Arabidopsis thaliana: one gene and its partners. The protein of the gene in region 3 interacts with the protein of the main gene of each other region in a pairwise test. Each region holds a gene or a part of one and is shown on either strand. Other genes may lie near its edges.

Region 1 (3,756 bases), about 16 Mb from region 3:
ATATGTAGATATATCAAAGAGTTATAATAATAACTTCAACAGGTAACGAAGAGAAGACATAACACCAAAGATTCTACACTTGACACGTCTTCGGAATACATAGATCAAACTCCAAAAGAATACATGTTAATGTTCATTAATCATTAGATGTATAATATCATATTATATGCATCACACAAAAAAACATTATAAATAGCACAAAAGAGTTTTTTTTTTTTTTTGAACTCTACCAAAAACTATAATTTATCAGCTAAGAACAAAGGTTATTCACTCCTAATCGACAAAATTAAAAAAAGATTCAATCAAGAAAAAAAAATACTAAAACCCTAAAAAAGATTTCATCACCATCAGAAATTTTCATTAAGATTATTACTTTTGCTAATACTATACCTCACCATCATAATCTTTCTTCATCATTTTCTCATAACTTAAAGAACCCATTGTAGTCTTTCCTTATGCATCATCCTCCATTAGGCATTGTCTTTAACTCATTCACCGTGGCTCTAATCTGTTCTTGAACCAATTCTAATCTCCTCGAATACACTTCCAGCTCAAGAATCTGTTGTCTCCTCCACCGTTCGTCCCCTACTCCCTTACCACCAAACCCTAAATTCATCGACGGCATTAGCATCGGACTCAACACACCGAGAGCATGAGCACCACCTCCAGGAAACCCACCCGTTGCAGCCATCATCATACCCGTCGTACTATTCATCATCTCCTTAATCATGGGCGATACACAATTCTTAACCGTCTCTTCAATCAACACTCCAAGATTCCTCCCATCACCAAAATCACAACCAACAGCCACATTCTCGTTAAGATTAACCGCATTCGGTATCACCCCGTCACACGGAGCAAGAACAGGCTTATCCTCGTCGATCTTCCCGATCCTAGACCGTGATCGTTTTCTACTTATCGTCACTTTCTTCTCTAAACCATTCTCCGAATCAACATCGACATTCGCATTACCGATAACAGAGACATTAAAACCCGAGCTACCATTCGCGTTATTTACATGATTAGTTTCTTCTAAATCCATCACATTATTATCTTCAAAACCAATAATTTTCCCAGTTTGATTCCAAATCTTCCTAGAGATATCAAAAGTAGCTTGATCATGAGGACTTTTAAAGAACACTTCTTTACCAGAACTAAACTTACTCATAACATTCCTATACTTCTTCTTCAACCTCCTTAGCTTCTCCACAAGCTGATTCTTATTAAACTCTAACTGTAGCTTAGATTTAATCTGTTCATAAAACGGCGCCGTATCAGGCGGATGAGAGCTGTTACCACGGTGGTTTGTGATGTAATCGAGAAAGCCACGGAGAAGCTCGATCTCGTCTTCGTCAGTCCATAGTCTCTGGAATAAACGTCGTGAATCATCAATCGGTGGTCTCTGATGAACGATTTCAGTCATACGGTGCCATTTCTGATCGGAATCTGATGGAATTGAAGCTACAGGTACGGCGGATCCAGCGGGAAGAGCGACGGTTACGGTTCCTGAGGATGATTTCGTCGCCGGAGCTCTGGAAATCATTGACGGAGAATTCAGATCTTCGTATTCTGGATCGGGATCGGGATCGTGATCGTCGTCTTCGGCTTCGTTTGGTTCGGGTATAACAACATCTTCGTCGGATTCAGTTTCTCCTCCTCCTCTTCCGCCACCGCCACCGCCGCCGTCTTCTTCTAGATCTGGTGATTCAGCGGAGAAATCAGTGTCACGTTGATCCGATGCCATGAGAAAAACGTAGCGAGAGAGAAATTTTTCTGGTAGATCGAATCAGATCCAGAAAGAAGGAATTGGGTTCACGAGGATTGATACGGGTTTGTTTTTTGGGTGGTGGTAGGGTATGGAGAATATTGGAGATGAGTAGGGGTAGTTTCGGGATTTTAAGAGTTGTAATTATGACTAAGGGTGTTGCGGTTGCAGGCAAGTGGTCCAGTGTTTGTTTCTTTTACCCGTGCTTTGTTTGGGTTGTTGCGGTTTTAGTTGAAGCGTGATCATGTGTTTAAAGTCAATGGTCTACCGCAACCGCGGCGAAACAGAAAAGCGTTCGACAAACTTGATTTTGTTATTCTGTGTACTGTTGCGTTTCTTCAACGTCCCATATTAACGGGTGTTGTGATTGGTGACTGTTGTTTATGACGGTTAAGAATGTTTTTAGAGATTATAGAAAAAGCGATTAGAGAAAATGCGATGACATAACAATGAAAAAAGGTGGTTACTTTAAATTGAAAAAAATTGTTATAAGGAAGGAATATAAGAGATTAGATAACATATAAAATTACTTTTACTATTAATAATCTCTTAATAGAACAATACAAATAAAGTTATATTGAAAAAACTAATACAGTATCAAAACAATTGGTAAACTCACAGATTTTTCATGTGGCTTACAATCGGCTTGTTTTAATTTTTAACCGCTCACTTCATTTGTTGTAACACCCAATGGCTATTTTTAGGTATGACTGGTTTAAACGCAGTGGATATTGTATGACTTGCGAGAGTTTGTAAAACGGACGGTTGTGATTTTAAACATTATGAAATATTTTTCAATGATATGGTTAGCTTTTGAAAATTGGTGCATTTACAGAAATTTTATGAATGATTAACCAGCCGGTTTGAACGAAATTAAACCAAATAAATATAATTAATAATTATAGAAAGTATAATTACACCAAATATTTTTTATTATAATAATAAAATGTAACATAATTTAAATATAATTAATAATTAAAATCATATATAACATTCTACATAATTATTCAAAATAAATAAATTTCATAGTTAAATGTTATTACTCCATGCATTTAGTTCATGAAAAAAATATCTTTATACTAATATAAGGAAAGTACCTTTAGAAAATTCACATTGCCTTTTCTAAAGTATTACTAACCAATGCCATTAGAAGTATAATTTCAAAGTCCAAATTAATTCACCTCATTAAGAATAAACAAGTCAAATTACATAAGATCTATTTGTTTTTCTCGCGGGTTAGAGATCTTATACATATGTTATGTTAGAACCATTACTTGACCAAAATCAAGAAACTCTTTACTTGATCAAAATCGCTGGTTACAAATCTTATATATACTGCTTTTTCAAGAAACTCGGCTCTCTAAATCCTTATTGCTTTGAAGTACGCTTTAACCAACTTCCTCATTATGCATTGAAATTTGGCTTGGTGTTGTGGTAAATCTGACTCTCAATCTATGAATTTCTATAGCTATGCTTTAAACTCGATTTTGAATCTCTATAGCTTTGAAGTGGTGGAAAAGAACCAAAAGTATGCTTTTCTTTTTATCGCTCTCTTGATTTTGTTTCAGGGTTTTTTATTATGTTACACATGCTTTATATATATATATATATATATGTTTGGTGTTAATGGCTTCTCATTCTTGACTATGCAAGTTAGTAAATTTCTCCTTATGTCGCTAAATTTTCTATTTCTCTAGGTTTAGATTTAGAATTATAGTTTTGGTGATGACTACTAAACAAATTTGGTGCTTCATAATAGGTAATTATCTCAGCTCTACGTCTTCTCGATGAGGTTTTGCACCAACAAATCGATAATTGTTGGACTATTGGGCTCTCTAACCAATTCACATGAGTAGGAAGAACTTTGGGATATATTGTTAATAATGAATCCTTATGAATCTAGTACCTATTCAATGGAGTTAACAAGGACCACTTTACTCCAAAAGGAGCCATAGATAACCTCCTTAGCGCGAAATCATTTTGGTTAATGA
Region 2 (3,756 bases), on a different chromosome or scaffold from region 3:
GAACTTTCTCCCTTGGCCTAAACACATTATAGGGATTGGTGTCATTAACCGGTGGGGGAGGCTGTTCCAAACAATGAAGCAAAACATTAACTAAATAATCGAGGTAAGATGCCTTTCCAACATAGGCCTTGATCGTTTCAAATGGAAATAAATAATACAAACCTGTAAACGCCGTAAGATAGGCTTCTGCCATCTTTTACGCTAAGTTCACATAAAAAACAGAAAACGAAACATATGCATAAGTATTATCAGCCAAAGGTACTCCATATGTGGAACTGCTTTGTCATTCACAAGAACTATGCATAGGTTTCACGAATCAAATAATCTATTAAACCGTCTTATCTCACCCCGTAAAATAAGATCATTAACCTATGCAACATAACGTCTGTATCCAGAAAACTTGTAACAATCACATAAGTTTTATTTCAAACCTTTTCTTTCCAGTAGTTGAAGATCGCCTGGAAGGTTCCATAATTAATGGACAGTACTTGCAGCACCTGCAATAAGAATCAGAACTAATCATTCAAATGTTTTGTACTGCTTCTAAAATGAGTGTAGAGTTATAATAACAAGAGATATATAATCCAAAAGTAAAGGTATACATCAGAAGCAGCATCAAACTGCAAAAGCACAGGAACTGGAGAGCCGAGAGTAGGTGTAATAACTCCTGCTCTTTCCCGCGTCTTGTGATCCAACACCTCTAGTTTAAAAATGATGATCTCAAGCCTGTATCAAACAATTTAACACATTTGTGTTGTGCATCAAATGGAACGATTCTTCTTTCGGTATCTATTTCACTAAGAGTTTTGGTTTTAACAATTTTAGCAGAATCCAATTTCTAGTGAATAAAGCAAACTAATTCAGCAACAGTACAAAACTAAAAGACGCAGAGAGTCTGAATAACCCAATCCGCCTCAACGTTTAAAATATCAGCATGATGCAGCTACAAGATAACAGAAAAATACTGATGATGATGATAAATCCGAAGAAGAAGAGCTATAAGGATAGTTGGATTGGTTACTTTACTTTTCAGGTGGAAGTTCTTTCTTATCCTTATCAAACTCATAAAGCCAGTCTTCATCCTCATTGTCAAGATCATACTCCACAAATTCTCCAAGCTCAGACCGAGCTGCATAAACAAACAGACAAACTTATAGTCTGCACATAACAAAGAAACCACCTTCATTGCCAATGAATACAAAACCAAATCAGAGGAAATTGGTACCTCCTCTTGCACGTAGATAAGAAGCAGGCTGACCAAAAGTCGGAGAATAATCCCTTTCATATGTATCCACAATAACAAATTGAGGTGTTGGTATTTCTGAAGCCGGTTTCTTACTTGGCACTGGAGCCACCTGATAGTAACAATGGTTAAAATGGTCGAATGTTTCGAAGTTAGAACAAAATGGAAATTCACCTCATTGTCAACTTCTACGGAAGCAATACGCAGCAACTGAGAATTTCTAGTGGTAGAAGTTGGAGTCTCATCATCTTCAAAGTCTTTAAAGGATTTTAAAATGGGAAGCTTCTTATGAATGTCTAATGGCCGTGGCCGGAAAGAGAGCCTACTCATATTACCTTCTTCCTCACTATTCTACTTACAAGTGTGCCTATAAATACAGATGATAGATATCTATATATATATATATATATATGTATGTTGCTCCAATAAGACAGGACGAAGCTTAATCTGTAATACTCAAATAGCTCAGAGTGCCAAAACTCGAAAAAAAAAGGTTTACACGAAGAGAAAACAAAACAGAGACAACGAAATTAATCGAACACGAATTTTAGGGTTAGGGTTTTTGTTTTTGAATCTGAATGGAACGAGAAAAAGAAAAATCAAATTAAATACCCAAAATTTCCAAACCTATATCCCTCTTCGTCGTCAATTTCCCAGATTCTAGGGGTTTTTTTTCCTCTGCCGGGAAAAATTGCGGCGGCTACCCAAAAAGGAAACTCTTCCGTGATTAACCCAGAAGGTCAAAATCGAAGCTTTGAAGGAAATTAAAAAAAAAAAATATTGGAGGTCGACGTGTTTGATTCGTCAGCAACATACAGAGGAGGGAAAACTTTAGTAAATTTGGGTTCGATTTCTCAATTTTTATTTTCTCATGTTTAAAAGGGACAGAATTATTAAAAATTCAAACTTTATAAATTTAGTAACCATTAACATTTCTTTTTTAAGCTTCTTCTTATCAAATGAACCACCTTTAAATCTACACATTGATTCAGAAAAAGAAAAAAGAAAAACAGCTTCTTTAGTTTACCACAATGAAAAATCCAAAGATTCTTTTTTTTTTCTTTTGGAAGAACAATCGACAGATACTATTTACAGAGAAAGACTCCCCTAAAAAAATTATGATCTTCAAGGCTTTGGATTCACCGTGGTGAGCTATATGAAAATTTTGTTTATGGTTTCGATCAAATTTGAATCAAGTGGAAGTTCTTCGCCACTGTTTCTTGCTTTTCATCTGGCCCAACTTGAAAGGGCTCCAGCTTTTTCTACGTTTTGAGGTTTCGCAGAAGAGACCTGAAGCAAGAGCTTGTTGAAGCCATAGCTCAAACTCTTCTTCGTCCTCATCCATCATCTCCACATCTAGATCCCATGGGAACCTACTTGAGTTTGATCTCTGTGTTGTCTTTTCTAACCCAACCATGTTCACATGAAAGCTTGGTCTATGCGTGTTTGGTCTACAAGCCATTCCCTATTTAATCCAATCAAAACATGTTAATGTATCTCAAGTCATCTTCGCATTTAAGTAATCCGCAGAGGAACCGGTAAGAGAACTGACCTGACAAATGGCCCATTCTGAGACGTCAAATATTTTGCTCTCCGCGCAAACAAAAGCACGCGGTATTTCAATCTTAATGGACATGAAAAAGAAAGTGATTGAGCTGAGGATACTGAGGCAAAACCAAATTCATTATAACATTTGACAAGGCGAGAAAGAAGCTTTTTTATACCTTATGTGCTCTCTCGAAGGGTAATGTCCCTTTGAGTTCGACCCATCCATCTCCATCTTTTGCTTGATGATATTGGCCACAATCCTACATTTAACAAATTAGATTATCTGTAAGAGAGGTTTGAAATAACGAAAATGCAAGAACAATATTCTTTAACTGTTTCTGAGTTGGTTGGATTCATCACCTGGCACCATCTTGCCTTTGCTTTTGTCCTATTGGTACATATCCATATGTGTGAATTACCACATTTTGTACAGTGTATCCGCCTTGACTCATCTGATCGATAATCAGGACCACTCTGCTTATCAAAATAGGAATAATGTATGGAACATGAGACCACACGCCAAAAGATATTACAGAGAAGCTAAAAGACTTTAACTAAACCTGATGCGAAGAAGCATGAGATGTCTGACAAACACTCCTAGTCCTAGATTCTTCTTTTCGTAGTTGCTCATCGTAATCTCTCTTCTTTACGAAATCAGATAGAACCTGAAAAAGATAATACAACCATTACATGTCTATATATCAAAATACCAAGAACTTCAAAATATACAAATTCAAGATTATAAGTAATTCGACTACCTCGTAAGCACTTTGAAGTTTCTTGAATGATTCACTTGCCAATGGACTCCCCATATTTTTATCAGGATGAACCAACATTGCCTAGAACATATTGAACACACTTCATTAACATTCAGAGAGATTTCATTAACCACCTACTCAGCATTGGAAAAGAGGAGAAACCTTCTTCCTATACTCTTTCTTAAGCACCGCAGCATCGATCTTTTT
Region 3 (3,756 bases):
CCAACAGAAATTGCATTTTTTTCATCAGACAATCAAATTGAAACAGAACATGTATATAACAGACCCAAGAGCCAAAGTGTGCTGATACCTTTGAAAAGTATCCAACCATGTGGCATCCACGATCATCACATTCACAGAGAATATAGAACAGGAACAAATCAACGTCATAGTAAAGAGTTTTGTGGTCAAGAAATAACTTTGCCAGATAACAGAGGTTCTGTGCATAGACCTTATTCTTCTTGCCATCCACCTGTAAGATATTACAAATAAACTCCCAGGTCGTGAAAATTCAATTCTAAATACATTTATTAGCTTCCAAACAAGTATCGTAAGCCTAAAGCAAACAGTTTAAGGATGAAAACATCAATCTATTACCTCAAACATTGACAAAGTAGAGCTTCGATAGATTTCATCCCCAGGGGGGTGCTTCAAATCGCATTTCCTCTGCATAGATAAAAGACGATTGAGCAAAACTTAAGTAAAAAGAATGACCCATAAAAGGTATGTGTGAAACTAAAAATAACTGTAAAGACAAAACAATTAAAATGCTACAAATGATAAAAAAAACAGTTGCTCACCATATGTCTTTGAAGCTGCTCTTTGCGCTTCATAAAACTGAGGCAAAACTCACAGAAAAAGAGCTTCACGCAGTCATTGTATTCTGGAGGAAAAGGAGAGAAGTACCACGTCTCAATCTCATACTTCCCAAGCTCAATCGTAGCTATGTTCTTCACTTTCGTGAACTCCTCGTGTTCACGCAAACTGGCAGCATCCAGCTCTTCATGACCCTATACAAAATATCGAAAAACATCAGAATATATAGCATGCCACACAGTTCACTAAAACCACAACAAAGTTTAACTAACTTAACCAATCACTTTACCTCTACATGAGTCTCATCAATCTTCCGTTTCTGGTGTCGTGTCATCTTCAAGCTAGTCACCTATTACCACAAACAAACTTCTATGTTTCAGTGCAAACTACGGAGAGGAAAGCTCAAGACTTTGAAGAAAAATGGCTAATACCTTGTCTTCAACTTTTTCATCTAAAGCACACTCTACTGAATCAAGGTCAAGCTGTTCAAGCTTAATCCATTCATCCAATCTTCTATTAACTGCAGTTTCACAAGAGTTGTGATACTCAAAACAACTTGAATTGCAAAGCCCTCTAATTCAATTCTTCGAAATTTCAGCTCCAATCTATAAACCCTAGATTCACAAATTTCAGATAGAGAAAGGAGGAAACGACATACACTCTGTGTAATGAACGTAGTACTCGTAATCATTGTGACCACCATTATAATTCTTTCGGCGCTCGATAACCTTCACCGGATGGTATTTTCCGTCTCTCCATTGACACATCACGCGAGTACCAACCTCGAGCGGAAGCACCCCCATTCTTCTCTTCTTCGAAGCATCCGATTCTGAATTCGTGAGAGCGAGTATCGCACCAGAAGTATGATTCTGATTCGCATCTCCGCCGTTGGTTGCCGGATTATTATGGTTCGACGCCGGTGTGGCGATTATCATCGCCGTCTCTGTATCCGCAGACGATCCCATTTCTTTAGTCGGGTCGGAGATTTTTTCCGGGTGGATTCTTTTCTCATACGGATAAAGAACATCATTTGGAAGGAGTGTGGCCCAATAACAACTTTGAATGCTCAATTGGGCCTATCTTTATAATTGGCCTGTACTATATGTCTCTCTTACCGTCCTTTTTTTTTGGGTGCAAAAAATCTCTTACCGTCGTTAATACACGTTTTATAACTGTTGGCTTATGTTTAGTTTTATAATCGCCAGGTTACATTTAAAGAATGATTAGTAGGAGCAAACAATTTATAAAAACTAAAGAGATAATGAGAGATAAATAATAAGTGACAGAGTCAGTATTTTGTCGTGAATGGGAAACAGCCAAACAAGGCTTTATGATTCGTACTAATCACAAGATTCACAGATCAAAAAATCACAAAGTTCCAAGAAGCAAAGACGAAAAACACAACTCATCATCGTGTCCTTGAAGTTATGGTCATAGATTCGCACACCATGTTCCTCTAGATTAACCAAAATGATTTTTTATGAACAAAAAAGATTCACATGGTCACTTTACTGTATCTTGTATGTGAAATTTTACATCTCATTTTTCTTAAAGAATGTTTTACTTTTACATACTATCAATTTACTTTTATTTTTCGGTTATGAATTGAAGTGGATGACTTACTTACTTTTGAAATTCGAATGAAGAAAAATAGAATTGATTCCTATTTCAGTTGTTCACATGTAAACACGTTATATACTTATATGGCAACTTGACTAAAGGGAAAATTTAAATAAAATGATTTAATTTGGTGACATATATTCATCTTTCTAATTTTTGTAGCTACTACACACCGTGTATCCTTTTTCATAATAATGATGTGAAATTGTATAATTGTAAGAAAAAATGAGAAAAGAGTGACGAAATCTTTAAAACAGACAGAATTTTTTTGGTTGAGCAAACAAAACTTAGTTATCAAATTTTGGAAATAACGTGTTGAAGTGGCTGATTCTTTTACCTACAATGATTGATTCATCGACAAATATCTTGTTCGTATATCATCAATTCTAAATTCTTCAAAAATAAAGTAAAGATACTCAAATGTAATGAAATGACGAAGCTGGAAAAACGTATTTTAATTTAATTCATTATTTGACCAACAATTTGCATCATGTGAATTTAAATCTTGATAGGTCAATATTAGTATAAACTACCACACTACATGCGAAAATCATTCCTCATTTAGTGCAATTACAAATGATAAACGGAAACGTTATCATTTGTATTTATTTTGTAAAATATGTAATTCAAGAAACTGCTCAGAATATAAAGACAAGAATCCTCTTTCTTCCATCTCTATCTCTCCGTAAACAGTTGCTCAAAACCTTCTTCCTGAAATGGCTTCTTCTCTCATCTTCCTCCTCCTCGTTACCCTAACCTTTTCAGCATCAACCCTAATCTCAGCCAAATCCAACACAACAACAATAATCGAATCAACTTGCAAAACCACAAACTACTACAAATTCTGCGTCTCAGCTCTCAAATCCGACCCAAGAAGTCCCACAGCCGACACAAAAGGTCTCGCCTCCATTATGGTCGGCGTTGGTATGACAAACGCCACCTCCACCGCAAATTACATCGCTGGAAACCTATCCGCCACCGTAAAAGACACCGTTCTCAAAAAGGTCTTACAAGATTGCTCCGAGAAGTATGCTCTCGCCGCTGATTCTCTCCGGCTGACGATTCAAGATCTTGATGATGAAGCTTATGACTATGCCTCCATGCATGTGTTGGCGGCGCAGGATTATCCTAATGTTTGCCGGAATATTTTTAGGCGGGTTAAAGGGTTGGCTTATCCGGTGGAGATTCGCCGGCGTGAAGCTAGTCTGAGACGTATTTGTGGTGTTGTCTCCGGGATTCTTGATCGCCTTGTTGAATGATTTACATTTGCATTAACTACTTTCGTAAAATCTCTATTTAAATTATCGTATTTCATGAATTTAATATGACCGTTACTTTATTACTTTCGTCTTTGCTACAACTTTCAAATTGCCAAGAAGAACAATCTTTAGAGATCACCTGAATATTTGGAATTTAATATTTCTCAATCAATTGACTAATCATACCAAAAATTTTAAGTGACGAAGATTTGGGGGAAAAGGCTTCTTAAGAAATGGGAAGTACTAGAGATATTTGTATATTCGTTATATATCTTTAGGTAAC

The links.
Region 1: the proteins of HAM1 (region 3) and AT5G28040 interact in a two-hybrid assay, tested with the Arabidopsis thaliana proteins (one large-scale study listed by BioGRID).
Region 2: the proteins of HAM1 (region 3) and AT1G79020 interact in a two-hybrid assay, tested with the Arabidopsis thaliana proteins (one large-scale study listed by BioGRID).

The regions. Positions count from the first base shown.
Region 1 is NC_003076.8:10,037,194-10,040,949, forward strand, and holds the start of AT5G28040 (DNA-binding storekeeper protein-related transcriptional regulator), read right to left. Parts: upstream 1,809-3,756; 5' UTR 1,745-1,808; coding exon 461-1,744; 3' UTR 391-460; exon of another isoform or gene 1-390.
Region 2 is NC_003070.9:29,728,487-29,732,242, forward strand, and holds the start of AT1G79020 (Enhancer of polycomb-like transcription factor protein), read right to left. Parts: upstream 2,108-3,756; 5' UTR 1,574-2,107; coding exon 1,418-1,573; intron 1,356-1,417; coding exon 1,226-1,355; intron 1,130-1,225; coding exon 1,027-1,129; intron 727-1,026; coding exon 603-726; intron 498-602; coding exon 432-497; intron 202-431; coding exon 163-201; intron 62-162; coding exon 1-61. Other genes in the region: AT1G79030 (Chaperone DnaJ-domain superfamily protein), read right to left, coding at 2,436-2,708, 2,796-2,867, 2,968-3,051, 3,152-3,265, 3,352-3,456, 3,550-3,630, 3,712-3,756.
Region 3 is NC_003076.8:25,828,945-25,832,700, forward strand, and holds the start of HAM1 (histone acetyltransferase of the MYST family 1), read right to left. Parts: upstream 1,726-3,756; 5' UTR 1,560-1,725; coding exon 1,253-1,559; intron 1,115-1,252; coding exon 1,026-1,114; intron 944-1,025; coding exon 884-943; intron 789-883; coding exon 579-788; intron 445-578; coding exon 376-444; intron 251-375; coding exon 89-250; intron 1-88. Other genes in the region: C/VIF2 (cell wall / vacuolar inhibitor of fructosidase 2), read left to right, coding at 2,931-3,473. UniProt on the Arabidopsis thaliana protein: Histone acetyltransferase which may be involved in transcriptional activation. Acetylates 'Lys-5' of histone H4 (H4K5ac). Essential for gametophyte development. Involved in DNA repair after UV-B exposure.